Macaca fascicularis: one gene and its partners. The protein of the gene in region 5 interacts with the protein of the main gene of each other region in a pairwise test. Links are inferred from orthologs where the notes say so. Each region holds a gene or a part of one and is shown on either strand. Other genes may lie near its edges. The genes, in order: EZR, SP3, H2AP, ZMAT2, HTT, WDR91 and TRIP10.

Evidence for each region.
Region 1: the proteins of HTT (region 5) and EZR interact in binary tests that used the Homo sapiens proteins (3 or more experiments, as listed by UniProt). The link is inferred for Macaca fascicularis from reciprocal best matches to the Homo sapiens genes HTT and EZR.
Region 2: the proteins of HTT (region 5) and SP3 interact in binary tests that used the Homo sapiens proteins (3 or more experiments, as listed by UniProt). The link is inferred for Macaca fascicularis from reciprocal best matches to the Homo sapiens genes HTT and SP3.
Region 3: the proteins of HTT (region 5) and H2AP interact in binary tests that used the Homo sapiens proteins (3 or more experiments, as listed by UniProt). The link is inferred for Macaca fascicularis from reciprocal best matches to the Homo sapiens genes HTT and H2AP.
Region 4: the proteins of HTT (region 5) and ZMAT2 interact in binary tests that used the Homo sapiens proteins (3 or more experiments, as listed by UniProt). The link is inferred for Macaca fascicularis from reciprocal best matches to the Homo sapiens genes HTT and ZMAT2.
Region 6: the proteins of HTT (region 5) and WDR91 interact in binary tests that used the Homo sapiens proteins (3 or more experiments, as listed by UniProt). The link is inferred for Macaca fascicularis from reciprocal best matches to the Homo sapiens genes HTT and WDR91.
Region 7: the proteins of HTT (region 5) and TRIP10 interact in binary tests that used the Homo sapiens proteins (3 or more experiments, as listed by UniProt). The link is inferred for Macaca fascicularis from reciprocal best matches to the Homo sapiens genes HTT and TRIP10.

The regions. Positions count from the first base shown.
Region 1 is NC_088378.1:67,154,840-67,159,806, reverse strand, and holds the start of EZR (ezrin), read left to right. Parts: upstream 1-2,022; 5' UTR 2,023-2,070; intron 2,071-3,180; 5' UTR 3,181-3,253; coding exon 3,254-3,265; intron 3,266-4,967. UniProt on the Homo sapiens protein: Probably involved in connections of major cytoskeletal structures to the plasma membrane. In epithelial cells, required for the formation of microvilli and membrane ruffles on the apical pole. Along with PLEKHG6, required for normal macropinocytosis.
Region 2 is NC_088386.1:69,488,087-69,493,067, forward strand, and holds the start of SP3 (transcription factor Sp3), read right to left. Parts: upstream 3,276-4,981; 5' UTR 3,074-3,275; coding exon 3,067-3,073; intron 2,453-3,066; coding exon 2,304-2,452; intron 1,789-2,303; coding exon 1,666-1,788; intron 1-1,665. UniProt on the Homo sapiens protein: Transcriptional factor that can act as an activator or repressor depending on isoform and/or post-translational modifications. Binds to GT and GC boxes promoter elements. Competes with SP1 for the GC-box promoters.
Region 3 is NC_088395.1:37,929,750-37,933,613, reverse strand, and holds H2AP (huntingtin-interacting protein M), read right to left. Parts: upstream 2,371-3,864; 5' UTR 1,599-2,370; coding exon 1,245-1,598; 3' UTR 983-1,244; downstream 1-982.
Region 4 is NC_088380.1:147,181,390-147,184,417, forward strand, and holds the end of ZMAT2 (zinc finger matrin-type protein 2), read left to right. Parts: intron 1-1,038; coding exon 1,039-1,182; 3' UTR 1,183-2,096; downstream 2,097-3,028. UniProt on the Homo sapiens protein: Involved in pre-mRNA splicing as a component of the spliceosome.
Region 5 is NC_088379.1:3,425,703-3,429,954, reverse strand, and holds part of HTT (huntingtin), read right to left. Parts: intron 3,609-4,252; coding exon 3,486-3,608; intron 1,117-3,485; coding exon 903-1,116; intron 483-902; coding exon 337-482; intron 1-336.
Region 6 is NC_088377.1:176,850,707-176,854,029, forward strand, and holds the end of WDR91 (WD repeat-containing protein 91), read right to left. Parts: intron 1,856-3,323; coding exon 1,691-1,855; 3' UTR 775-1,690; downstream 1-774.
Region 7 is NC_088393.1:7,506,517-7,510,768, forward strand, and holds part of TRIP10 (cdc42-interacting protein 4), read left to right. Parts: intron 1-753; coding exon 754-901; intron 902-983; coding exon 984-1,046; intron 1,047-1,290; coding exon 1,291-1,395; intron 1,396-1,491; coding exon 1,492-1,620; intron 1,621-2,339; coding exon 2,340-2,486; intron 2,487-2,585; coding exon 2,586-2,780; intron 2,781-3,806; coding exon 3,807-3,974; intron 3,975-4,229; coding exon 4,230-4,252. UniProt on the Homo sapiens protein: Required for translocation of GLUT4 to the plasma membrane in response to insulin signaling. Required to coordinate membrane tubulation with reorganization of the actin cytoskeleton during endocytosis.

The DNA of each region.
Region 1 (4,967 bases), on a different chromosome or scaffold from region 5:
AATTGGCTAACCAGGCTCTAGGCAATGATAAGGCGGTGGAGGTACTGATGTCCAATTGGAAACATTATCAGTACAGGTATTTTAAATAGCTTTCATAGTTTCCTTTCTACTGCAGTTACCATTATATCTTCATTTTATTTATTTATTTATTTTTGAGACGGAGTTTTGTTCTTGTTGCCCAGGCTGGAGTGCAATAGCACCATCTCAGCTTACCGCAACCTCCACCTTCCAGGTTCAAGCAATTCTCCTGCCTCAGCCTCCCGAGTAGCTGGGACTACAGGTGCGCACCACCAAGCCCAGCTAATTCTGTATTTTTAGTAGAGATGGGGTTTCTCCATGTTGGTCAGGCTGGTCTTGAACTCCCGACCTCAGGTGTTCCACCTGCCTCAGCCTCCCAAAGTTCTGGGATTACAGGCGTGAGCCACCGTGCCTGGCCTATATCTTCATTTTAATAAAAAAGAAATTCAGGCCAGGCGCGGTGGCTCACGCCTGTAATCCTAGCACTTTGGGAGGCCGAGGTGAGCGGATCACCTGAAGTCAGGAGTTCAAAACCAGCCTGGCCAACATGGTGAAACTCCATCTCTACTAAAAATACAAAAAATTAGCTGGGCGTGGTGGCGGGTGTCTGTAATCCCAGCTATTGGAGAGGCTGAGGCAGGAGAATTGCTTGAACCTGGGAGACAGAGGTTGCAGTGAGCCGAGATTGCGCCATTGCACTCCAGCCTGGGCAACAAGAGTGAAACTCCGTCTAAAAAAAAAAGGAAAGGAAAGGAAAGAAATTCAGTCTTTCAGAGGGAATACACTTACCTGAATAGAGGTCAAAGTCTCAGAAGAGGCCTCCCTCCTCTCTCTGACCTCTGAAATGCCCTGGACCTGCAAGTGGGAGATTACAGGCCCTGACAAGGGTTGCCCAAACAGCAGTGTGGCACTAGGAAGGCAGGTTAAGCATCAATTACTATGATGCTAGCACAACTTAAGCACTCTGCATGCACAATCTCATTTAATCCTTACAAGTGTATGTAGGAGGGGCTACTAGTATGTTCATTCAACAAACTGGGATACAGAGTTTGGAACTTCACCCAAAGTCACTAGTTTCTCTACCAGGATAGATTTAAGTGCTTACTGTCAGGTACTGTTCCAGGCATCTTATATGTACTAACTCATTATCCCCATTACAACCCTCTGATACAGGTGCCATAATTATGCCACTTTACAGACGAGAAAACTAAAAGCAGAAAGGGAGCAGTAAACCCAGGAGATGAATTCTGGAGAAGCTCTCTGGTTTCAACCCTTAGCCAACATCACAATCACCTGAAGGGCTTGTAATACACTGATTGCTGGGCCCAGTCCTAGAGTTTCTGAATCCTAAGGCTGAGCAACACCTAATTTCCACTTCTGCAAGTTCCCAGTGAATGCTGTTGCTGCTCGTCTGGAAGCCAGACGTTGAGAACCCCTTCTAGAGTGAGGTCTCCCGCAACAAATTCTACCGGCCCCCAAAGCACGTGTTTTGTGTGTCTTAAAAATTTGTTGAGTACCATTAGCAAAAAACAAACAAAAAAACTTAATTCCTAGAATTGCAGAGAAATCCCATGGAGTTTTTTGCTAGTCACGTCAAAAGAGGCCACAAAGTGCCGCTTAACCAGAGCTTCGGAAGACAGCGGCTGGGCCGGCCACGTGCACCGAGACTTGGGGCCAGGTGCAGCCGCCCCAGGGCCGGGGTATCGGAAAGGGCCCCCGGTCCCAGCCCCAAGCGGCCCAGCAATTCCCCCGGGCCGTCCGCCCCTCCAGATTTATTTACGTTTTCCTGACTTCCCCCTGCCCGCCGTGGGACAAACAGCCTCCCCACTTGCATCTGCGCTGGGAGTAGCGCGTACTTCCGCCAAATTCGCCTCCGAGCCCGAGTCCCGGCCGCCGCCATCTTGCGGGGGGCGCACCTCACAGGTCGGGAGCTGGGCGGGAAGGGGCGTGGCCCCGGGACCCGCCCCGCCAGGGCTCTTGGGAGCGCGGGCAGCCAGCGCACTCGGCGGACGCCAGGGCGGCGGGGAGCACACGGAGCACTGCAGGCGTCGGGTGAGGCGTACGGCGGCGGGGGTCGGGGCGGGGGTTCCTGACGGAGGGACCGGGTGGGCGGCGGGAGCTCGGATGCAGGTACGGCGGGCAGCCTGGGGGGCGCGGCGCGGGTCTCTGCCCGGCACTCGAGGGGCAGTGGAGCTGAGCCGGCCAGCGGCCCCGCGACCTTCCCCTCGGCACCAGGTCCCCTCTCCCGAAGGAAACGCGGAGCCTGGGTGCCTGGGCGCCGTCCCTTGGCGGCTCCCGGGCGGTTGCAGTTTTTGAAAGAGTTTCTCAAAGGCGTGACGGTTGCGATTGCAGCCGCGGGGCAACGGTTGCTACACAAAGTGAAACTTGCCGAGTGCTCGGCTCCTCACGGGCTTCCTGGCAGCCCTGGGAAGTTCCTCGGCTGACCCCGAGCCCGCGCCCTCTCTCCACGGACCCCTCCCCGCCGAGTGCCCCCCGGCCATGCGCCCCCTCTCCCCTGACCCCTCCCTGCCGAGTGCCCCGAGGGCTCGCGCCGGCGCTCCCGGGACTCCTTTCTCCTAGGTGATTCCCCCTGCCCCTCGCCCTCTCTCCCCCAGGCCCGCGCTCCGTCTTCCCGGGCCTTTCCCCGCCGGGTACCCCGGGCCCCGCGCCCTCTCTTCTCCACTTCTCTCAGCCAGGTGCACCTGGAGTGCCCCCCAGACCCCTTCCCGCCCGGTCGGCGCTCTTTCCCCCATCCCTCCCCGCCGAGTGTTCCCCGGGGCCCGTGCCCTCTCCCCCCGACCCTCTCCGCCGAGCGTTCCCCCTGCCCTATATCTCCCGGACCCGCGTCCCCCACCAGCCCCTTAATGCTGGGGGTCCCCGGGTGCGCACCCCCTCTCTCCGGACCCCCCCAACTGGGGGCACCTCGAGTGCCCGCCGGCTGCCCCTTGGGCGCGCGCCCCCGCGCTCAGGCCCCTCCTCGCCGGGGGCCCCGCCCGGCCGCGCCCCCTCCCCGTGCCCGCAGTGCTGGGCGGGGCGCTGACTCACCCCGGCCCGGGCTGGCCGGTTCTTAAGCGGCGGCGCGCGGCGGGCGCGGAGTGTCGGGCGCGGCAGGAGGACGAGGCAGGGCCGACCGGCGCTCTAAGGGCTCTGCTTTGACTCCAGGTTGGGACAGCGTCTCCGCTGCTGCTGGAGAGTCGTGTTTCCGGGGATCGAGGATACTCAACAGGAACCGAAAATGCCGAAACCAGTAAGTTGCCCAGTTTCTGGGACGGGCGGACGGGGGAGGCTTCATTGGCGAGGGGAGGCACCTGCACGAGGTGTTGGGGCAGTTCCTGGTGGAAGAAGGCTTTTCTCACACGCAGAAGAGGATAGGAATAGGGGGTTGTCGCCGCTCTTTGTTACTTGTTGGCCCTTTTGTGGAGCGTTAGGAAAACACCATTTTGATGCTTTTCTCTGCAGTCTTTTTCTTTGTGAGCCCCCTCCCCAGTAGTTACGATCTTCTCTAAAAACTAGAGGCCCTTTTACACTGCTTCCGTCTGTTTTTAAAGGGTATGGTAATGCAACTTCGAATTTTCTTAAAAAGTCCAAATCACAGGGAGACTCAAATGGCCTCCGACCACACACACCAGCTCTCAGAGTTCCTAAGGGTCCGAAACCACAGGCGCCCAAGATCCAACTGGGGAGATTTAAAGGGCGTTTGGGAGAGGAGACTGGCTTTCGGAAGTTGCCGTTCAGCTTCGCTTCCTACGAGGCCCATGAAGCGGTGCCCTGTTCACCAGGAAACTTACTGGCTGCAGCAGAATTTCTGTCTCTTAACAGAAGGTTAGCCATGGACTTGAATTGTAGATGCAGGCAGTCGGCGGAGTTTGATGAGCGGCTCTTGGCACGCTGGGCCGAGCACTCCTGGTCAACTGATGAAAGGGCTGTGCCTGCGCCTCTGTCTCCTTGAATCTGATTGTGTTGAGATTGCTGGCTAGGCCTGGGGGTTGTAGGCAAAAGGCAGGTTCTCTGGGACTGACACTTCTTAGAAAGTTGTATGTATTCTACCTGCTTTTAACGCTGGGGAACTAGTGACTATTCGGGAGAAGGTTTAACATTTTTTGAGTTTTGAATCACAGTGGACAAAATAACAGGGTTCATTACAAACTGGGATTACAGATACATCCGGATTTTTTTTCTGGTTTTTCAAACAAGTTGGTTCTGTAATCAATGATTGTGTGCCTTTTTTTTTTTTTTTTTTTTTTTTTTTTTGTTGGGGGAGGTAGGTGGTGGGGAGCAGAGTCTCCCTCTGTCGCCCGGGCTGGAGTGCAGTGGCCTGATCTCAGCTCACTGCAACCTCTGCCTGTTGGGTTCAGGCGAATCTCCTGCCTCAGCCTCCCGAGTAGCTGGGATTACAGGCATGTGCCACCATGCCCAGCTAAATTGTGTATTTTTGTAGAGAGGGTGTTTCACCATGTTGGCCAGGTTGGTCTCAAACTCCCGACCTCAGGTGATCCGCCCACCTCGACCTCCCAAAATGCTAGGATTACAGGCGTGAGCCACCACACCCGGCCTTGGTGCTTTTTCTACTGTTAAATTTTATGTTCTCTAAGAAGATGTTTGTTAGAGGTATTAATTTTGCTGTTAGGTTAGAGAATATTAATATGCCAATAGATTCAGAAGCCAATATCATTTTTGCCTAAGTTACATTAAGATTTATTTGCGGTGCAGAGTATTTTCTATACAAAATTTTTCTTTTTAATTCAAACTTAAAAGTGACACGTGACATCCAGGCTTGACAGTGCATGTGGTATGAAACTGACCTAAGTACAACCCCTTACTTAGGCAGAGCTGAGTGCAAGGGTATGCAGAGGAGTGGTCAAGATTACCCTTCTGGGTGTGGTTTTCTTTATTTCACTAAAAGAAGAGATGCAGAGCTCAGCTAAGATAGCACTCAGGAAAAAGTTAAC
Region 2 (4,981 bases), on a different chromosome or scaffold from region 5:
GCAGCTAAAGAAGCACGGAAACTTCCCTACAAGCATACGGCCACAGCTGGCTAAGGCTGGAGACAGTATTCTATCCTTGGGCCTCAGACTCACATATATATGTACATACACATTTTTCACCCATAGTTCCTTACTTCTCCCCTCCCCCATCTGTAAACTGATACCTAAACTTTACAAATTACAGCTACAAGAAAATTTTGTTCCATTTGAAATACAAAAAAGATCAGTAGAAGCAATCTGCTTTTCAATTTTACTTATGCAGTTTAAGATAGTCAATTTCTTTTGGCACTTAGGAACTAGAGGGATACAGTTCATAAAAAAGGTCTACCAACCCTTAGTGAAGCTGAAATGAGGTGAAATAAAGGCCTACCAATCCATAAATGTATTTAAAAATAACAATGCCTAATACAATTTTACATTTTTACATCTTAATCTGCTTATAAAAAAGACATTAAAACTATTCACATCCCCTATAACGAAACACTAAAATTACAAATCTATTTACCAATAATAGCTTAACATTGGTTTAACTTAAAAAAAAAAATCTGGACGTACTAACCATTTGCTGTAGACTATACCAAATACCAAACTTCTCTTTCTTCAGTGACTATTCAAAATATCACTCCACAAATCAATTCCTATGATCTACCCCCCCCCCACACACACACACGAGAGGGTTTTCATTATTTTAACAGGTGAACAAATCTACACAATACAACAGTGATGATCCAAATGTAAAATTCACAATTAACAGTCTAAAAACTATTCCTACCCTATTTGTATTAACCCCTCACATAACACAGGCGAGCTCCTCCCCTTGCCCCGGACACTGTGAAAACACTACAGAAAGAATCCCACCACATCTTACCTGACTAGCAGTCGTAATAAAACAAAAATATACTTTTGCCAATCATATTCAACTGTAAGTATTGCAGTATTAGCATGCATGTAAATACAATTTCTTACATATACTTTTCTAACACTGATAGTCATATTCAATTTCAAAAGATAAAGTACTATCTAAGCAACTTGCCAATTTCAAAGGCTGCTAAATGTTTCACTTACGCCCCTTACAAAAAAAACTCACTGCAAATTTAAGTAGTCTGCAAAAACTAAAAATCAACGATTTTGAATGGTCACTAAAAAAGCAAAAAGTGTTCACTCCTGCATACAAAAGGATAATTCAAATAATAAACCCCCATTTTTTAAAAATAATGTATGATTTAAAACAGTAAGATCCTGTAACTTCCAACAGAAAATGCTCCAGTTTCAAAAATACTAAAAACTAAAGACACTCCTTCTAGTTGATACTATCTATGGCCGATAGGCTGTGCTTGAAAATTTTGTAGTGTTCAGCGAAGGAGTTTTCAGCACTGATAGGAATTGCTCAAACATCCATTTTGGAGTCCTCTACCCCCGCCCTCTCAGACTTCATTTTGTGAAGAATTTTGCGCGAGGTGCCGCAGTGACAATTTCGAGAAAGCCTGGGCTGGCTTCAGATCCAAACAGGGATGCGAAAGAGCAGGAAAGGGCGCCCTGGAGCCCAGCGGCCCGTGCGGCTCGGGAGAAGCGCGGGCGCCGGGGAGGCCTTTTGGGCGGGCGCGCTACGGGCCCCGGATGGCGGGCGCCGGGCCTCAGCGGGGGCGGGCCGCGCGCGGGACTTACCGCTCCGGCGGCGGCGGGGGCCCCGGCTGCGGCGGCCGCCTCCTCCTCGTCGTCGCCCGGCGATGGCGGCCCTATCTTGCTGCAGGTAGCGGCCAGCAGAGCGAGCGGTGACGGCTGAGTGTCCTACCCCCAATGGGCGGGTTCAGAGAGGGAGACAGGGGGAGGGGGTGGCGGTTAGGGCCGGGCGGCCGCTCGCACAGGAAGTGCGACTCGATCCCCGCCGACTGCGCCCGGGCGAGCGCCAACCCGCACTCTCCTCCTCCTCCTGGTCCCGCCGCCGGCCCCCGCCTGGCGTCCCCCGCTCCACGAACCCCGGCTCCCCGGTCTGCGGGCAGGCGGGCGGCGGGCTAGCGCGCCGGGCCTCCGCCTTCCGCCCGGAACCCACCCCCGAGAGGGCACGCTGGGGCCCACACTCACACGCGCACAAAAAGGCGGCAGGCGGGCGGGGCGGGGCGTCGCGGGCGGGGTCGGAGCGTTGGCGCCTCGGGCGGGCAGCTCCCGAGGCGGGGGGAGGGGAGGGGAGGGGAGGGGAGGGGAGAGGCGAGGAGGGAGGGGTGAGGCGAGGAGGGAGGGGAGAGGCGAGGGGAGGAGAAAGCGGCGCAAGGGGGGAGCCGGGCCGGGGCTCAGCCGCTCCTCACCTGGGCCGCCGCCGCCGCCGCCACCGCGCCGTTTCCGTGCTGTTGCTGCTGCTGCAGATACTCGCCGTGGCCGCCGCCACCACCACCGCCGCCGCCGCTGTCCACGTCCAAGGCAGCCATTTCCTCTTGTTTCACGGGCTTTTCGGGAGCTGCAGGCACAGCGCGGGGGGGTGGGGGTGGGGAGGAAGGCGGGTGGCGGAGAGGGAGGGGGCCCGCGGGCCGAGGCGAAATTACTCCCAAAGCCCGGACCCAGGCCCCTTCCCCTCCCCCACCCGCCCCCCGGCGGCGGCGGCGGCGGCGGCGGCTCCCTCCTCCCCTCCTGCTGCTGCCCCCGCCCGCCGCTGCCTGTAACCCTCCTCCTCCTCCTCTTTCCCTCCTCCTCCTCCTCCCCGCGCTGCCCCTGCCCCCTCTCCTCTCCTCCCCTTTCCCTTCGCGCCGCTCGCTCTCACTCGCGCTCGCTCCTCTCGCACCGTCAGTCACTCACACACGCCCGCCCGCGCCCGCACACAGGGGGATGCGCTCCCGGCGGACCGGGCCGCCCGCCCCGGGGCCTGGCGGGGAGACGGCGTTGCTGGGGCTTCGGGGGTGGACGGTGGCTGGCGGGGAGGGGAGGGAGGCGCAGGGGAGTGCAGCTTTCTGCCTCTCACAGACACTCGGTCGCACACACGGGGCCAGGACCGGCGGCAGCGGCCCCGGGCTGGCTGTGGTCGGCGGCAGCGGCGGCGGCGGCAGCAGCAAGGGTTGCTCTCTCGGCTTTACGTACCGGTCATAGTGTGTTTAGGGCACCTCAGGCGGGGCTCCCCGCCGCCTTACACATGGTGAGGAGCGAAGGCGGCGGCGGCGGGAGAGGATGCGGGAAGCGGCGGCGGACACGGCCGGAGCGGTCCGGGGATTTTTTTTTCCTATTTTGATTGACTGTGCGGGAAACACAAAAGGTGGAGCCTCCAGCCCAAAAGGGGGGAAGAGGGTGACAGCCTGCCCGGAACTCCCGCCCCTCTTCTTGGCCCTCATTCGCCGCCGTGTTCTCCGTCGGATGTGCTCATTGGTCCAGGCGCCCGTCCGTCGCTGTGCCAGGCGGCGCGCTTCCTGTTTGCCCCCCGGGTGGAAGGGGCGAGACAATGAGCGGCCGTGGCAGCGTAGGTTTCCGAGAGCGGCTACGGCTCGCCGGTTACCCCGCTGTGTCCGCCTCTCTCGCCGGCTGCCGCTGCCAGGCCCGAGGCGCAGGCCTCCTCCACCTCGCAGGCGCTCGGAGCAGGCCTAGCCAAGCTGTAGGGGAGCTGAGCTGGGGAGGAAATTCGTCCCCGGTGACTCCGGCTCCACTGGAGGCTACCTCCATCCCGGCAGCAGCCTCGGCCGGATTTCCCCAGGGCCTCGCGCTCTTGGAGCCGCCGCTTGCCTGCGCTGCCAGGAGGGCACCGCCGCTCAGCCCCGGGGCTGCTGCTGCGGCCGCTGCCGCTACTGAGCAAACCAGACCCGCCCCACGAGCCCGGGGGGAGGGAGCTGGTATTAGGGGAGACACCCCCTCCGAGGCTGGAGGAGGATTTTTCTCACACACATCCAGCTTTCTGATTCACAGACAGCCATCTCGCTCCCAGCCCCCTTAGCCCCAGCTTTCCAACCGGTCTCCCACTTTCACGTACCGTGAAGGCAGGCATTTAAAGCAAAAAAATTTCAAGTCACCTCACATACGGAAGGAGAGTTTTAATTTTGGCCAGTGGCACCAAAACGGGCACTTAAAAGTATATTTCATTTTACCTGTGGTATGTGTATGTATCCAATGGGGCAGAATACTGTTTTTTTAAAAAGTCAGTCACATAATCATTTTGCTGCACAAACGTATTATCCCCAGCCTCTTAATCCTCTTGGTACCAAGTCAGATATCTCCTGAAACAAGCCCATCAACCATTGCCAACGTTTTTAAAGTCGTGAACTGGTGAAGTACCTTTTTTCCCCCATTGGAACATTTTTGTTGTATTTTAAAATCTTGTTTCACTCATTGGATTAGGTTAAAACTCCTTCCTTCTTTGGCAACCTTGATATCTTGCTGTCATCCTGGGGGAAAATGCTGAGGTTTTATGTCTGTGTTTTGCCAACTAAGAGATATCTCTCCCTGTTACCTTCAAGTATAGTTGCCAACAAAGAAGTTAAATTCAAGAGGTGGAAACACTGTCCACAATACCTCTTTTTTAGAAATCTGGCTCAAGAATCAGTTTTCCCATTACTGTGATGATTGTATTTTGTGTGATATGTGATGATGTGCTGGTGGATGAGGTTGTGAAGCACTTCAACTAGATTTTGTGTGTACTAACTTAATAGGTAATCCATTTGTGAGATAGCGAGTTTGCATCCCAGTTCCAAAGCAGTTAACCGCCTATGCTCACAGGATCAGAAACATTGTATGGTTACTTTGCTCTTAATTGTACAAAGATCGAATTTCTAGGGAATTGACCTAAAAACCACAAACATGCGGAAACGAGACTCAAAATTCTGAGTCCAAGAATAAGGTTCATCTCTCCTAATAGTAAGACCTTGTAGTCTCATTTAATTGGAAAAATAACTTCAAAGTTGAATGGTATAACCTGTGTACTATTTTACAACAAAAACTTTTAAGGAAATAAAAGTCACAAAATAACCTGATTTGGGGTGGGGGGAAGGGAAAAAGAGATGGGTGCCCTGAA
Region 3 (3,864 bases), on a different chromosome or scaffold from region 5:
AGTGGTGAACTGGGATCTGAAACCCAGGCCCTCAGCTCCCACTGTTGGAGCTGCCTGTGCAGCCTCTGACCAATCCTCTGTGAAAGGCCAGCAGGCAGCAGACTGTGGCACCCAAGGACCCAAGGAACAGGTGGAAACCTAAAATGCGGGCATTCACAGGCAAGGGGACAGATTGCTACAACGTTTGATGTGACACCTCTTTTAAACTTAGCACAGAGCAGGAAGTTTTGAAAAGGATTGCACATGCTTTAGAGGCCGTCACTTGGGACAGAACTATTTCTATACCTCTTAAAACATGTATTGAGTCACTAATAATTCTTTGGTGCTCTATGCAATATATAGTAATTATAATGAATAGGTATTTAATTTAAAAATGAAATTGTTAATTGTGTTTTAAATGAAATACATATATAATTAAGCTGATTCATTAATAATTAACAACCATTAAGAACTTCTTGAATTGCCCATCTTAGGCCAGATCATAAATTTTATGTATTATTATGATTTATTTTACCAGTGTCCTGAAGAGAGGACAGAAAGATATATTCACAGCACTAGCTACTAATCCCTGTCTCAAATCCTCTTTCATAATAAGTCAGGGCATAAAGAAATAAGAAATGAAATCCAGCAGGCCATCATTTCTTTTTTGCATTTTTCATCATGGTTTCTCCTTCACTCTCAATCTCCATGTAAAGTCCCTATCCCATGAACTTCATGCCAGCCAGTGTGCCCCCTCTCCACCCGCCCCTGTGGCCACCACCCTCTGCCTCCTGCACTTCAGTCAGAGTCTGCAGCTCCACCCCAGGCCCCAGCATCAGGCTGGGAATTCAGCAAGCCTCAGAGGCCCCCAGCCAACTCCCCGGCCTCACAAGGCCTTCCTGTTCAGAGGCAATTAGGAAGTCTCGGTGTCTTTATCCCAGCCAGTTCCTCCCCACAGGGCCCGTGCCCTCTCTGTCACCGTTGGAAACTGCCCCCTCTAAATCACTGATTCAAACACTCCACACTGGCCACCACTTCCCGCCCCCCCCCCCCAACTTCAGCTCTCTGGGGATAGCTTCTCCTTGATGTCTCACAGACACCTACAACCCAAAAAGACGGAAACTGGAAGGAGTCAGAAACATACTCATGGATTTACATCCTTTAGTAGCACTTGTTGATGACAACAGCAGATATTCCTCAGCTGTGACACATTTTTGCCCTGGCTAAGCCTGTGAGGATCCCCTCAAGGCTCTGGGACCCAGTCTTCAGTCATTCTTTCCGGATTTGGGCATCTCATCAAACACAAAGCGGGTTCCATCACTCTCAGTGCGGTGGGGCTCATGGTGGTTGTCCACTTCTCTCTCCCCATCTTGTGAAGTGTTGCGCATCCTGCCATTGTTGATGGCCTCCAAGCCTACCTGCTCCATGATGTAGTCAGCAAGGCAATCGAGCAGGGTAAGGAGGATATTTATTGTGGAGGAACTCTGGCTTTGGGCATCTTGTTCATCTTGCACAACTCGGTCCACGAAGCTCATAGGGACCCGCAGCTCATTTCTAGACCGGTCTTGAATCTGGTTGTTATTTGCAGAGGAGTTCTTACGGTTATTTTTCTCTGACATGATATTTGCTGGGTTTGGCTCTGATCAGCTCTGCTTGATTCTCCAGCTCAAGTAAGTCTCTGAGGACGCTGGTGCTGCCTATTGGATCCCTCTGCTCCAGGCCCTGATTGGTCAGGGAGCTAGCTGCCTTTGTGACATCCCTAGGCTTTGTGATTTCACTGGTGTCCACTGGTCCCTGATCAGACCTCAGCTTAGAAATGTCTGTGACACTGATCTAGTCACCCTAATGACTGAACCCTGATTTTGAGGGAACTATAACTCTTTACCTGATTTTGACATTATAAAAATAAAAGTGTGTTTCAATGGAAAACTTTGCTCTATCTTTAGGACACCACTGCAGGTTATCTGATTCTAGCCTTACATTATCTGTGAAGTCTTTTATAGCCTTTTGTTAGTTGTAGGTGGCTGATACATGTACAGTATATTCTTTAGTAGAGGTTCAGTTGTCTTCACCTTATGAAACCAGTTTTGCCTCCATGTGCACAATCATTTAATATTACTGATGAATATTCCCATATCGACTCTTTGGTTTCCCTTTTGAAGCAGTCATAACATCTTTTTCTTTTAGCATGTGTTCATTTCGTATCTGTATGAGTGTCATGATTTTACCCTATTTGAAAAATGCATTTTATTTATTTTTTTATTTTTATTTTTTATTATTATACTTTAAGTTCTAGGGTACATGTGCACAATGTGCAGGTTTGTTACATATGTATACATGTGCCATGTTGGTGTGCTGCACCCATTAACTCGTCATTTACATTAGGTATATCTCCTAATGCTATCCCTCCCCCCTCCCCCCTCCCCACAACAGACCCCAGTGTGTGATGTTCCCCTTCCTGTGTCCAAGTGATCTCATTCTTCAATTCCCACCTATGAGTGAGAACATGCAGTGTTTGGTTTTCTGTTCTTGCGATAGTTTGCTGAGAATGATGGTTTCCAGCTGCATCCATGTGCCTACAAAGGACACGAACTCATCCTTTTTTATGGCTTCATAGTATTCCATGGTGTATATGTGCCACATTTTCTTAATCCAGTCTGTCACTGATGGACATTTGGGTTGATTCCAAGTCTTTGCTATTGTGAATAGTGCTGCAATAAACATACATGTGTATGTGTCTTTATAGCAGCATGATTTATAATCCTTTGGGTATATCCCCAGTAATGGGATGGCTGAGTCAAATGGTATTTCTAGTTCTAGATCCTTGAGGAATTGCCATACTGTTTTCCACAATGGTTGAAAAATATATTTTAATCATTTTTCAATTAATAATAAGATGCTCAATAAGTTTACCTGTCAGTGTCAGGTAAACAGTTGATAGAGAAGTGCATCTTGTGCTCAGTTTAAGCCCAGATGTATATTTCTTGTCTCTCCTAGGTGAAGCAAAAGCACTAACAGATGTTTCTTTTCTATTATTTAATTTTCCTTTCTAGTAATTCTGTGTTTTCCCTTTGACTTTGGTTCATTTACAGCCAATAACTTTGCCATTCCATAGGGGAAAAAGTAGAAAGAACAAAAGAGTCTTAAATCCAAACAATTTCAAAATCCAACCATTAGGTTTCAAGGCCTGGGAATATTCTATGACTTAAGACTCCTCCCTTTGATCACTCTGATCCTATGACTTCACCTGGGGTAATAAATCTGCCCTCTGGCCTCTAGGTTCTGCCCTCAGTCATTGTTCCTTTATTTTGAATGGTAGCATATGTTTACAGCTGAGTAGTTTTATCAGCCTGCTTTCTCCTGTCAAATTTTGGGAGTCCTATGGCCTTCTTTCATTTCTTCCTCTATTTGTCCCTTTCCGTCTAAGCTGGCATTGTTTCTGCTGATATAACATTCTCAAAAACTTATAGGTCTTTTATGTATGTCATGGGGATTCATGTGATTAGACAAGAGGTTTCTTCAAGATCCTTCATAGACAATCCCTTGCTTATTCTGAGAAGCACACCCCATATCTCTTCAAAACACCATCTGTGTGATTGAATATTTTGATCTTTTGATCCCTTAAAGGCACTAGCAAAAGGATGTCTAGCTATGCCCTTGATTTTATCTCTGGAGGATGATTTCGTGGCAACGAATTTCCTAATTTTGGTGTCTTTTTGCAATCTGGATAGGCTGAAAATTTCTCATATCATTGAATCCTGCTTTCTTTTTGCTTAACAGTTCTTCCCTCAATTTATGTCTTTCCTCTAGCATTTTACTATAAGCAGAAATAAAAGCAGGCCATTCATTTAATCCTTTGCATGAAAATCTCCTCAGCTAAATATT
Region 4 (3,028 bases), on a different chromosome or scaffold from region 5:
GGCTGAGGCCGGAGAATGGCGTGAACCCGGGAGGTGGAGCTTGCAGTGAGCTGAGATCTGGCCACTGCACTCTAGCCTGGGCTACAGAGCGAGACTCCGTCTCAAAAAAAAAAAAAAAAAAAAAAAAAAAAAGACTTAACTTTCTTTAGAGCAGTTTGGGTTTGCAACAAAATCGAGAGGGAGGTATAAAGATTTCCCATATACCCACTGTCCCCCACAACATGCATAGCTTCCTCCATACTTTTTTTTTTTAACTACAAGAGGAATTAACTAAATGTACCTAGTCCTAAGGAGGCCCATGAAATCAGGCTGACTGGGTCAGAATTCTGTTTCTTCCACTTACTGGCTGTGAATCTTGGGCAAGTTATATAACCTCTTTGTGCCTCAGTATCCCCATATTAGAGATCTTAGTATAATATGCATGAAGTACTCAGAGCAATTTCTGGCATGTACTGCATGCCCCAGAATGTCAGTTGCTATTATATGGTTTTGCTGTCATAACCCTGTCAGGAACTAGAAATGACATGGGGCCAGACGCAGTGGCTCACGCGTGTAATCCCAACACTTTGGGAGGCCAAGGTGGATGGATCACTTGAGACCAGGAGTTCAAGACCAGCCCCAGCAACATGGTGGGACCCTGTCTCTACAAATACAAAAATTAGCTGGGTGCAGTGGCACACGCCTATAGTCCCAGCTACTTGGGAGGCTGAGGTGGGAGGATTGCTTGAACCCAGGAGGTGGAGGTTGCGATGAGCCGAGATTGTGCCACTGCACTCCAGCCTAGGCGACAGAACAAGACTCTCTCAAAAAAAAAAAAAAAAATGAACTAGAGTGCAGGCTTGAGAACTTCTCTCTAGAGGCTAAAACTTCTTTTTGTTATCCTTTATAATTTTTACTCTGGCTTTTACTCTGTCCTTGAGATTTTACTTGTCTTAAGTACTTTCTCCTAAAGATAGAAAGGAGTCTTGAAACTCATGTCTTTTTCAGTAACATTTGGCTGAGGAGTCTAAACTGATTCTGAGTGATTTTTCCCTCCAGGAAGAAAAGGCCAAAGCATACAAGAAAGAGAAACAGAAGGAGAAGAAAAGGAGGGCTGAGGAGGACTTGACATTTGAGGAGGACGATGAGATGGCAGCTGTGATGGGCTTCTCTGGCTTTGGTTCCACCAAGAAGAGTTACTGAGGCTTTCTATGCTTGGCCTAACTTGGGCCTATGCTGGACCTAACTTTGTGTGTGTGTGTGTGTGTAGTCGGGGGTCATTTCTTTTTGGGTGATGGGAAAGTTCTTAAGAGTGTCAATGGGGAGGGATAGAGGGTGGGGCTCATGGTTTCCCTCTACTTTGGGAGAGGGCACAGATTGCAGAGGTAATGCTGTGGCATATTGCTTCAGCCTCAGTATATCGCTGGAGTCATAGGACCCCTGCCCACCTGAGTTTCCAATAAAGAAAAACCTCCCCTTCTGAGGCTGCTTTCCCAAAACTCCCCCTGCATCTTTATCTCTCCATCTATCCAGCCTCTTGTCTGAGCATCCCAACTTTATCCTGTGTTATGCCTTTGTTTTAATTTTATCTCATGTTCAGCCTGCAACAGAAGCATTCTCTAGGTCCCAGTTTCCAGTTGATTGCATATCCTTGACCAGCCCTTTTTCCCATCCCGCCCTATGGTTCTCTAGCTACCTGTGCATGCATGTGTATTTCTGCCTGGTTCTATGGTGTGTGGATGTGTGTGCATGAATCTGTCACATAGAGGGGGCCTGAGCTGGAATCCTAGAGCATTGCTGCCCTGGGGCCTGATGTTCTTGGCTTCCTCAGAGCATGTAACAGGAAATTAAATGGGATGAGTGTTTGGTGTGGTTTGTGTCTGATGAGTTTTTTAACATTCAGGTGTAGATTGTTTCAGGTTCTCTTGTTTCATTTTCCTGAGGATTTCTGTTTTTGTCTTCCTTGTGAGCAGGCTTTTGGAAGAACCTGTTTGATGCAAAGAAGAAAATGAAAAACAAAACAAAACAAAAAATCCCCAAAACCTTATTATGGGAGCCCTTGGGTCTTAGAAGCTGTTCAACATGTATAATAAATGGCATTGACTGGGCCTGTTTTACATTTGGTGGGAACATTCCATAATTTTGCCTGTGAATATTTGTTTTTCCTTCTCATGCTGAGGATTTCCATAGAGTGTTTTATTCTTCCATTTTAAATCTTATTTTTGCCTAGGATTTTTTTTTTTTTTTTTTTTTTTAGCATGAGTTATGTTTTCCTCTGGTAAGGGATCTGTGTCCAGAGGAGCCTGAACCAAAACTATTCCTATCATTTCAGACTCCTTTGATCTTTTGTTTTTGGAACAGTAGAGCTCAGGATTGAACTTAGTGTTTTTCTTTTTCTTTTTCTTTTTTTTTTTTTTTTTTGAGAGAGTCTTGCTCTATCGCCCAGTCTGGAGTGCAGTGGCGCGGTCTTGGCTCACTGCAACCTCCGCCTCTTGGCTTCAAGCGGCTAATTTTGTATTTTTAGTTGAGATGGGGTTTCACCATGTTGGCTAGGCTGGTCTAGAACTCCTTGCTCAGGTGATCCACCTGCCTCAGCCTCCCAAAGTGCTGGGATTATAGGCGTGAGCCATTGCACCCTGCCCTTAGTGTGTTTCTTACTGTCTGCTAGACACAGGATTACTTAATCTTGGCACTGTTGATATTTTGGGCCAGATTATCATTTGTTGTAGAAACCAATGCTGTGCAGTGTAGGGTGTTTATGATTTTGATTTTGATTTAGGATTAACTTCATCCGTGGCCTTTACCTGCTAGATGCCAGTAGCACCCTCTTCCACAATTGTGACAACTAAAAATGTCTATGCCCCTGAGAAAGGCAAAATCCCTCCCTACCCACATTGAAATCCACTGAGAAGCAGCTAGCTGTTTTCCCTACCTTGGTCTAATTTGAGAATTAGATGGCACAGACTGGTAAACTCAGTACAGAAACTCACAAAACTTTGATATCCACTGGATCAAGTACTGTACCAAGTCCAGGGGATGCAGAGGAAAA
Region 5 (4,252 bases):
AGTATTCCTTGGCTGACATGTCCAGGCCAACTTAAGACACAAAGTACCTCCAGATGGTTATTTTTCAAGTCTCTAAAATTACGATCCACATAACACTGGAGGTGCAGATGAGAAGGGGACCTGGCTGACCTCACAGGCCACCGTGAGGAGTGGCGAGGCAAGGGTGAAGGCTGGCTACAATAACTTGACGGTGACAAGACTTACTGCCAGGCTGAGACGGAAGAGTGACTGGATTGGTCAGAGCTCTTGCTTTTCAAATAAAACTGCTTTACCCTCTCCAGTGTCAGCCCCGTGTCCCCTCCCACAGCAACAATGAGCTCCTGAGCTGCCTCTTACCTCAAGGGTTGCCACCACGAATTTCATGGTGTCCTTCTCTTTCTCAGGAGGAAGGTGCAAGTGACTGGGCAGTTTGGAGACCGCCACCAGGTACTGTGCCAGGGCCCGGGCCAGAGTGGTCAGGGACTGATACAGCGCAGCATCCCCTGAAACAGAAGGCCCTCGTGGGTGGGTGCAAACATGAGCACAGATGCAACACCTTCGAAAGGCAGTCAAGCAATTCTTTGAGAATCTGATGAAAGCACAAGACATTGCTCCTCAATGGCACATCTACGCATCCATCCACATGACTGCATGTAGTTTGGGGCTGCATCTCCCCTGAGGTCTGGCCCAGCCTTCCTCAAGGGCTTAGAGCCCTATGTCCGTGACCACGTCAATGAACGGCAAAGTGGCAAACACGCAGGAAGAAATTCTGCGCTGAGGCCACCAGTGCTGCTCTTTAGCTGCCTCTGTAAACGCTTTCGCTGTATTAGATCCACCGCCTTTATTGTATATTGACTTGGTGCAAAGTACTATACTGGCCCTGGAACCTTTCTAAAAATAAGATAAATTTTAATTTTAATTACCAAATAGATCATTCAACTTGCTCCAGTAGGCCGCCGGCTCTGCAGGCAGGTCGGACTGGAAGACGTGGTGGGCAGCAGGGAGCTGCTGCACGGTGCTGCTCACGCGGGCCAGAGTCACCTCACGGGCTGCTTCAAAAAGCGGACTCTTCTGGCCACCAGAAATCTCACTCATCCCTAGGCTTAAGCATGGAGCTAGCAGGCTTAGGTTGAACTCCTGAAATCAGAGCATTAAAGGTTAAACAAACAGTAACAACAGATTAGGAGCTTTCAATCAGGTAAGAAAAACACAACAGAAAAAAGAATAAGGCAAATGTTTCTGAGAAAACACAGATTGGTATACCATCAAAAATGTTTTTAAGAAAATTCTACTCTATGCCTGTTACAAATATTTGAACAACTTCATTCAACGTACGCTTAGTAAAATATATTTCTGTTCTCTCTTGGTACTTTAAGTGATATTTTAATTTTTTATGCTCTTGGATTTGCTTGAAGTAAAAATTTTGGTATGACAATTTTAATTCATAAAAACAGAAAATCAAAGCTAAAGTGTCATCCAAGATCTCGGTGATACACCAACCATCCCTGAAGTTTGAAAAAGATGGTCAAATGCAGCTGAAATAAGTAAAAGTAGCCATATGAATGACAAAATTTTGGTTGGAAAAATGGTATTTCCTATGACAATTTGGATTATGTTTTAGCAACCTTTTTTGTTTAGCCATTTATAAGATTGGGGGCCAATTCTTCAGGTAAAACATCTATCTTAGTTTAATATTCAGAAAAGCATCATGAATGCCAAAAGTTGCAGCTTTCTTTTACAGTCAGAACTTTTACAGCTGTTCAAAGCCCAATTAGCAAATTTGGAAAACCTAATAAACAGATCACTAAGCAAATTTATCACTCAGTAAGTTAGTTTTCACTGCATGAATCTTAAGATAAACAATTTTAGGCCGGGCGCAGTGGCTCAGGCCTGTAATCCCAGCACTTTGGGAGGCTGAGGCAGGGAGATCACCTGAGGTCAGGAGTTTAAGACAAGCCTGGCCAACACGGTGAAACCACGTCTCTACTAAAAATACAAAAATTAGCCGGGCGTGGTGGGTGCATGCCTGTACTCGGGAGGCTGAGGCAGGAGAATTGTTTAAATCCAGGAGGCAGAGGTTGCAGTGAGCCAAGATCTACCATCGCACTCCAGCCTGGGGGACAAGAGCGAGACTTCGTCTCAAAAAAAAAAAAGGATAAACAATTTTAGTAAATGGATTTTGGGTGAATTCTCCTGTTCTTTTCAGTCTAGCTCTTCAGTACATCAGAACACACTGTTGTGTTGCCCTCCCTGTAAGGTCTCTTTTCATGAACACCTGCCTCCACCCCCAGCCTCTACATGCATTTGTCCTCCCGGGTGCCCACTTCCCTCCCATCTGCTGCGTATCAACGCAGGGCTAAAGCACCAGGAGGTTTCTCCCGTCCTAGTAGGTCTGAGAGGAAGCCCTGCTCAGGCCATGGCTGTACCACACCAAAGAGGTGGCCCCCCGACTGCTCACAGGATCTGCCCACAGGTGAAGGACAGGGACACCAAGGCTTTGCACGGTCTCCTGGGATAGCTCTGCGCAGGCTGCCCTCTGACATCTGGGGTTGGGGGGTGAAGAACCTCACTACATCTAACAGAGGTGTGGGTAGAGGAAATCTCACTGCATTCAAGGGTCTCTTTTGCGACTAAAGATCAACCTCCAGAACACCAGAAACAAGTTACTACGACACTGTGTCAAAGTCTACGGCAAATATGCAACCCTGACTTCCATTCTGTCTTGGCCATGGAGCTTAGATGATGACATCCCGTGTTTGTTCCTCCCGTGGAGGTCAGATAGTTCTCATGCCAAACCACACACCCAGCCTTGGGGCCAGCTGGATTTCAAAACAATACCTCCTCATGAGAGAGGGCTCCCATCAACTTGCTTCAAATTTCACAGCTGCCTGCTTCCAACTTCACTGCCATCCAGTTTCTACCCTGCTTCCTGCCGCTCAGGTCCCCCACCCTAGATGCCAATAAAAGTGCCCAGGACCACACTTCATTCCCTCACATGCCCCCAACTTCCATGTGTGAGGGGCCTCTGGGCATGCCATGTACCCGCCAGGACCTGTAAGTAGTAAAATCTTCATTTCCATCTCGAGTCTCTCCTAATCCCTGAGGGAGTGCTCTCCATCTTCTCAAAGATCCTGAATTAAGACAGACACCAATCCAATACCCTTCCTCACTGCCATGAGAACAAACCAGTGAAATGACTGTAATCTAAGACCACCTCCATTTTCTTTAAATGCATGAAAGGTTGAGTGAAATCGACTTGCCTCCTTGGATTCTAATGTGGCTGAAACAATCTCGATCAGCATATCCCCCATGTCCCGGCCCCCTGAAATGGAGTCCTCCCCACTTCCCAGCCCCATTCAGAGTGGAGTCTCTCCGTCATCCCGTCCCCATCCAGAGTGGAGTCTCCAACATGTGTTGTCAACAAGTGGGTCACATGAGGAGACAAATCCCACTTGGAAGTCACAAGAAAAGCTGAGGATTCCTTGCTTCCGCTGCTCCCCCCGTACCGAGTTCATCATGAAGGCACTCATATCTTCAGCAGGAATCCGATTCACCAGCTCTGCACCTTCCAGCAGCGCAGAATCTGACCTGGTCCAACACTGGGATTTGACAAGATGAATGTACCAGTCCTGGGAAGAAAAAGATGAATAAGGGGAACATGATGGGTGGCGTTCAAGGGCACTTCACATCCCTGGAGCTACAGGCCTAGGCCAGTGCTTGGGAACACTGCACTAGGCTAACTGAGAGGGCCGCCGGCCGGCATGTTGTGGCTATACAGCTCACCACACCACAGGTCTTCCCCTTTGGACTTCTGTTACCTACCTGGGTACTCTCACGGCCTCCCCCTTCACCTGGTGAACTTCTAATAGTCCTTCCAAATATAGCTAAACTACTAAGGGTTAGCGGCCCCTTTGCCATCCTCTCCTGGGCTGTCTGCTTTGCTCATCTCTTCCCAGCAACCAGGGCAGGGCAGGGCAGATGCTTAGCAAATAGAGCCTAAGGCGGCAGGACTGAACCTTCGCTTTCTTATACTTGGGCTGCTGGTTTTTGAAATCTAAATTCATATTCATAAGCTGAACTCTCTCCAGGAAAGTAGAGTACCAAGGCTCTACCAAGGCCCCAAGTGGTCCCTAACGGTGAGGTATGAGCAGTGGAGGTGCTGACAACATACCAGTATGGCTGGCAGTGGCGGTGCAACTCACAGGTGGCCAGAAGGTATGAGGCGATGGAGGGAGGCTAAATGCACTGACATGTGCTTGAAGGCCTGTGCAGT
Region 6 (3,323 bases), on a different chromosome or scaffold from region 5:
TAGTGACTCCCCCCATAAGCTCTGCCTCAGCTGTGAAAGGCAAGAGGGAAAAGGGGAGTGAGTCTCTTGTTCCTCCTCACCTCCTGGGAGGATCTGCATTTTCAAGGTCCCACCCCAGCCAGGGAGGAGAGGGCACGCCTCAGGCAGGGTGTGGACACAGCTGGTTGATGCTCAGCTCAGCTACAGATGGGCTCAGCCACAGTTGGGCTGGCCTTAACCCCAGGTGCCCACCAGCAGCAACTTGGCCCCCTTGCTCTGACCTCACCATTCGCCAGCAGAGGGGGGCAGGCAGCCGTCACCTTTCCACAGAGATGTTCAGTTGGAGGAAGGAGAGGAGCCACCAAATGAAAGAGGTATAGGTTGAGCGTCCTTAACCCAAAGATCCAAAATCCAAAATGCTCCATAACCCAAAACTTTTTTTTTTTTTTCAGTTGTGTTCTCCCTCTGTCGCCCAGGATGCAGGTCAATGATGTGATCTTGGCTCACTGTAACTTCCGCCTCCTGGGCTCAAGTGATTCTCCTGCCCCAGCCTCCGGAGTAGCGGGGATTACAGGCACCTGCCACCACGCCTAGCTGATTTTGGTATTTTTAGTAGAGATGGGGTTTCACCATGTTGGCCAGGCTGGTCTCGAACTCCTGACCTTAAGTGATCCACCCACCTTGGCCTCCCAAAGTGCTGGGATTACAGACGTGACCACCGTGCCCCGCTCCAAAACTTTGAGCACCAACATGACACCACAAGTAGAAAATACCATACGTGACCACAATCAATACTTTGTTTTCATGTACAAAATTATTTAAAATGCTGTATAGAGTTATCTTTAGGCTACATGTATAAGGTATATCTAAAACATGAGTGAATTTCATGTTTAGACATGAGACCTACCAAGACACCTCGTTATGTATATATGCAAATATTCCAAAGTCTGAAAAAATCCAAAATCTGTAACACTCCTGTCCCAAGCATTTCAGATAAGGAATGCTTAGCCCATCTTGGGAAACAGCAGCCACTGGATGGAAAGGGGAAGCCAGTGGCAGAGGCCTCAGCCCCTGCCTTCATCCTGAGAATCTTCTGTAACAAAAGCTGCCAGCTTTCAGGGAAGAAAAAGAACTCTGTGGCCTTGACTGAAGCCCAGAGAAACAGGAACTGCCAAACCTTGTTACGCAGCAGAACAGACAGAGAGCTGACCTGGCTCCATGGCAAAGCAACAGGAGAGCCTGGAGAGGTTCAGCTCCGGGCCAGCAGAGCCAGGCTGGGTGGGAGGGCTGTCACTGAAGCAAAGTGACACACATCCTAGAAAGAGACACCAGGGGACCATAAGAGCATTCTCTTTTTTAAAAAAAGAAAAATAAAAATGGGCATATATATACAAAATACTGTCAATTTCTTCTGAGCCAACACAGTAGCCACTGCAATGTTTCTCCTTCTTCCAGAGCTTTCCTCCATAGTCTCACATGTACTTCTGGCACAGCCATGATACCCGTCTCTGGGAAGCATATGCCACCTACTCCACGTGGGTCCCATTCCAGTCACCGAAGATGGCAGTGCCTGACCCTCCTTGCCAGTCTTTCCCTGCAGAGTCACTGCACTGGCAGGGAGATGGAGTGGAGCACCTGGTTTTCCTGTCCTATACCTCCTCCCCCTACCCCGGATAATACTGCTTCATTGGGTGGCCCTTGGGGCAGGTCATCAGGCTTTATGGGCCAGGAGGGTGGTCAGCTTGATCTTCCCATCCATGGAGGCAGTGAGGCAGGTCCCACAGTCCATGGCAGTGCTCCAGTCCACGGTGACCACAGGGGCTCGGTGGCCACCCAGGCTCAAGCAGCTCTCCAGAACCTTCTCATCGCCACCCAGCTGCAAGAGGACAGGAAACAGGAGGAGGTGTCAGCAAACACCACTTACACATACTTGATCCACTTTCAGTGGCCTACCTGAGGATGTGCTTGAGGCCAGGCACACATGCCCACCTTTCTAGAAAGTCTGTTTAACTTCTTCAACCAGGAAATGCTTTCACTTTCCCAACTACAGCTGGTCCATCTGAAGTGGAAAACAAGTCCCTGAGCAGCTCTTTAAAATAAGGCATTTTCTCAGCTGCCTTGAACTTGCTGTGGGCTGGTGCTGCTTGCACGCACACTGGTTGTTCTCACTACAGCATCACTTCTCACTACCTGACATGTGCTCATGAATCTGCTCATTGGTTGAAGGTTCACTCCCATACCGGGGAATGCAAGCTGCAGGGGAGTAGGGCCTCAGGCAGCTCTCTCCTGCGGGGGGCCAGCCTGCCACACCCAGAACAGTGCTGGCGCAGGGGAGCCTTCAGTTGGTGCGGAAACATGGCTCTCTGAACCCCGGCACTAGCTAGCCAGCGATCCTGTGCGATAGGGCACTAACGGGGAAGGAGAAGCTGGGAGCGAACCGAATTCCTATCAGTACCACTATGTATAGCAACTGTGAGCGAGAGACAACGCAGTCTTCAGCCATCGTGGAGAAAACACTTACAAAAACCATAAATTACATTGTTTATAGATTATAAAAGTGGGACCTGAAGTTCAATATATTCCTTAAATAATTAGATCTCATTATTCACATTCAAAGAATTCTACAGAGGAAAATCTTTCCACCAACTAACTGGTCATACAGCAAGTCTGACTGCCAATCATATGAACTGATCAGATCAAATGACAAAGGCTGCATGACTAAAAATAAAACACATACACACATATATCCATACAGAGAGCAAAGTACTGAACAGCCCACCAAAAATGCAACAAAAACAAACCTCTGGAGAATAAAATAAGAGCAGGCTTGTAAACGGAAAGCGTTTTAGTGTCTCCATTGGGAAATATCAGTTATGAGAAATGATGGAGCTAATTTTGAAGGAAAGGGCAAGGGCAACTGACAGAATCAAGCTCCACAGAAAAGAGGAGCCTAACCCACAGCGAGCGCAGGTCCTGCGGTGCACACTTCAGATTACAGTCTACGAGGCTCCCACTTCCCACCTCAGCACGGGCAGTACCCCTTGCCTCACTGTGAGCTCTTGCTCACCTCTGCCCATGTGGGGCCCCAAGACCTGCTTTCTTCTCCATCTACCCAACAACTCCTCTTCGTCCTCTCCTCCCGCTTCCAAGGCCTCCAATCCACAGCCTCCCACCTCCCGCAAGGACTCAGTCCCCACTGAGACAGCTTTCTTCTCCCTGAGCTGCTCAACTCCGCATTGCTCTCCTTTGTTGTTACTGTGTCTCTTTCTGAGTGTGCACCCCAAAAGAGCAGAGATCATATTCTATATGTCCTTCATACACTCCACAGTGCCTGGTCCAATGCC
Region 7 (4,252 bases), on a different chromosome or scaffold from region 5:
TGTACACCATCTTTATTTTATTTATTTATATTTTTTGAGACAGAGTCTCGCTCCGTCACCCAGGCTGGAGTGCAGTGGCACAATCTTGGCTCGCTGCAACCTCCTCCTCTCTGGTTCAAGCAATTCTCCTGCCTCAGCCTCCTGAGTAGCTGGGATTACAGGCACATGCCACCATACCCGGCTAATTTTTTGTAATTTTAGTAGAGACAGGGTTTCACCGTGTTAGCCAGGATGGTCTTGATCTCTTGACCTCAGTATACCATCTTTAAAAACTGGAAAATTCTGTGTTCCAAAATACATTCGAGGTCCAGTGCAGTGGCTCACACCTGTACTCCCAGCACTTTGGGAGGGTGAGGCGGGAACAGGCGGAGTTCGGGGGGATTGGAGTTTGAGACCTCATCTCAAAAAAAAAAAAAAAAAAATTAGTCAGGTATGGTGGCGTGTGGCTGTGGTCCCAGCTATTTGGGAGCCTGAGGTGGGAGGATCACTTGAGCCCAGGAGTTTGAGGCTGCAGTGAGACACGATTATGCCACTGCACTGCAGCCTGGGTGACAGCAAGACCCTGTCTCAAAAAAAAAAAAAAAAAAAAATTCTACTCAAAGGTTGGGGTTAAGGAATATGGACCACAACTTGTCATTGCTTCAAGGATTAAATTCTTGGGGCTTAACCCTTTTCCACCTGGAGGTGCGTCCTGGGGCATCAGCCTATTTGGGGGGCCTGACTCCCTGTTCCCCGATTCTCATCCTACCCCAGATTCAGCCAGCAACAGTCCTTCGTACAGATTCTCCAGGAGGTGAATGACTTTGCAGGCCAGCGGGAGTTGGTGGCCGAGAACCTCAGTGTCCGTGTCTGTCTTGAGCTGACCAAGTACTCACAAGAGATGAAACAGGAGAGGAAGATGGTGAGGAACTCCCCTCCGATTCAGGTTTTGGGAAGGGCTCCTGCTGGAACTCTGGCGAGCCTTATCGCTCTTCTTTCTGTAGCACTTCCAAGAAGGGCGGCGGGCCCAGCAGCAGCTGGAAAACGGCTTCAAACAGCTGGAGAATGTGAGTTTGCAGAGGTGGCAGTGACTGTGGCCCGGAGGCACGGGGGTCAGGGTTGCAGATCCTGGAGTCAGGGACCTGCCCTCTTTGTCAGACCTGGTCCTTCCCTGCCCCATAGGCTTCTAGTACGCCCTTGTCCCCTACTTACTGGTTGACATCCCAACAATCCCTGAAACCTTGGTTTCCCACCCTGCTGTCTTTGGGAGGGTGGCTCCCTCACTCTGGTTCTGTCCCCTACCCTACACAGAGTAAGCGTAAATTTGAGCGGGACTGCCGGGAGGCAGAGAAGGCAGCCCAGACTGCTGAACGGCTAGACCAGGATATCAACGCCACCAAGGCTGACGTGGAGAAGGTGTGTGAGGGGGTGGCGGGGTCTGGGACAAGCTTAGGGGGTCCGGGTGGGACGTGACCAGAACCTGGTAGTACCTTCCACCTCCTCATTCCTCAGGCCAAGCAGCAAGCCCACCTTCGGAGTCATATGGCCGAAGAAAGCAAAAACGAATATGCAGCTCAACTGCAGCGCTTCAACCGAGACCAAGCCCACTTCTATTTTTCACAGATGCCCCAGATATTTGATGTGAGTGCTCCCAGTTCTCAGACCTACCTTCCCAAAAGCCCCCAAATGTTAGCCAACTCCTGCACATTCGTCAAAACCCCAGCTGCAATGTCCCAGTCCCTAGATTGAAAGGGAATCAGAAACCTATCATAACAGCGAGCTGTGCTTTTAATCAGCTGTTCTTCCTGCTGGGCATGCCTTTTACTTGTTTGTTTATTTACTTCTATAGAGAGATGGGGCCTGGCTCTGTCACCCAGGCAGGAGTGCAGTGGCGCAATCACAGCTCACTGCAGCCTGGAACCCCTGGGCTCAAGCAAGGTTTCTTTCCTTTTGAAATTCCTACTTATTATTTTAAGCTCCACCTCTAACAACCTCTCTGAAAGGTCTCGAATTTCCCCTCTCCTGTTTCAATCTAGTGCTCCATTCTCTGTCCCATCCCAGGCCCTGGAAGTATCAGGGCTGGTTCTGCTTTTTCTTCAAATCCCTGCTCCTTTGTCTCCTCCTTTGAGAAGCCTTTGCTGACCCCCTAGGCAGGCGTCCCCCTCTGAGATCCCCCTGGCACTGTGTCGCTCCCCAACCACACTGGGCTGGAGTCTCTTCTCTTCCTGACTCTGTCTTCCCCTCCAGACTGGCTTGGGGTTGGGGCCAGCGTGGAGTGCGATCATATTTGCAGAGTGAATCACTGTGCTTCTAGTCCCTCTGTTAGCACCCCTGAGCCACCCTTGTCCCCGTCCCTACAGAAGCTCCAAGACATGGATGAACGCAGGGCCACCCGCCTGGGTGCCGGGTATGGGCTCCTGTCGGAGGCCGAGCTGGAGGTGGTGCCCATCATCGCCAAGTGCTTGGAGGGCATGAAGGTGGCTGCAAATGCTGTGGATCCCAAGAACGTGGGTGCCTGGTCTGGGTCCAGTGGGCCATGGGAAGGGCGGAGGGAAGTCCCCATACGCTGGTCACTTGACTACTCATCCACTGTCCCCCTCCCCCAGGACTCCCAAGTCCTTATAGAGCTGCACAAGTCAGGTTTTGCCCGCCCGGGCGACGTGGAATTCGAGGACTTCAGCCAGCCCATGAACCGTGCACCCTCGGACAGCAGTCTGGGCACCCCCTCGGAAGGACGACCGGAGCTCCGAGGCCCAGGCCGCATCCGCACCAAGCGCTGGCCCTTTGGCAAGAAGAACAAGGTGGGGGCCGGGACCCTTGGGATGGTGGGGGAGAAGGACAGTGAGGTGGGGACAGTGGGGCCCCTGTTGAGTCAGCCCCAGCCGCCTGAACGCCGAGTCCCGGGCAGGAATTTTCCTCTTGGCTGCCAGCCCGGGCTGGAGGGAAGGAAGGCGGGCGGGCCGCTTGGCCTGGGAGTCCCCCGAGGCGAAGGCGGGGGCAGGGTGGGGAGGTCTGTGGCGTTTGTCTGCTGCTTCTCGGGATGCTGGGAGAAAACCTGCTGGTGGAATTCAGAGCTGGCCTGAGGGCTGGTGACACCATCCCTGGGGACTCCCCGAGTTTCTCTCTCCATCCTGCTGATGGGACTCCGGGAGCTGCCCTGCACGTCCTGGTTTCTTGGGTTTTTGGATTTTAATATACCTTAGCACCCTTGGTTTATACCTTTGATTTATACTCTGGGTCCCTCTTGACTTACACTCTCATACCTCTCCTTGACTTCCACCTGCGATCCCCGAGCTTAAACCTCTGACGCCGCTAACCCCTCTCATTTTCCTGCCTTCCACTCCCTCTCAGCTTGTGGTTTTATTTTTGTTTATCTTTTGTGTCCTCCGTGGCCTCACACCTGTCTGAGACCTCGATTCCTGCATGCGTCTTCTAGACTGTCAGCCCAGAAAGCTAAGTGGACAGAGATACATGGGTCTGCCTGCCTCCTGGACCCATGCTTGCTCCCGGACATAACATTCCAGAGACCTAGGAGATACCGGGGGTGTGAGAGTTCTGGCTTTTGGGCTTACAGTTCAACGTCCTCCCCGCCACCTTCCAAATGTTTTTGTGTCGCTCCTGCATGCGTTTTCTCTGTGTGATTGTGTATCTTGAGTTGTGGTTTTCTTACCGTTTTTTTCTTTCTCCATTTTGTTTTTCCTTTTTTCTTTTCGCGTCCATCCGTCCATCCGTGCATCCATTCCTCCGTCCATTCGTCCTCATTTTCTACATCCTCCTACACCCCCCTACCCCTTCAACCTATCCCCCTCCCCGGCCCCCTCCGGTAGCCTCGCCCCCCACCCCTCTCCCCCCTGGGGGGTCCCGTACCCTCGGCATTGCCTAACGGACCCCCGTCCCCCCGCTCCGGCCGTGACCCCTTGGCCATACTGAGCGAGATCAGTAAGTCGGTCAAACCGAGGCTAGCATCCTTCCGCAGCCTTCGAGGCAGCCGTGGGGTAAGTGAGGCCTCGGGGCAGGAGAAGGTGGTGGCCCTAGCCTGCCCAGCGGCGGGTGGCGGGACCCTGGGCTCGCTTCCTGCCGCTGGCTGGGCCCCTCTTCCCTGGTTGCCCAACCCAGACCCGCTTTGCTTTGTGCATGGCCTCGCTGCCAAGAACCATGGCTGGGGAAGGAAGTGAAATATCTCAGAAGGGTGCAGAGTCTGGCAGCCTAGACTCCTTGATCCCAAATTCAGCCCTCTACCCACCTTGCAGACAGTGGTGACCGAGGATTTTAG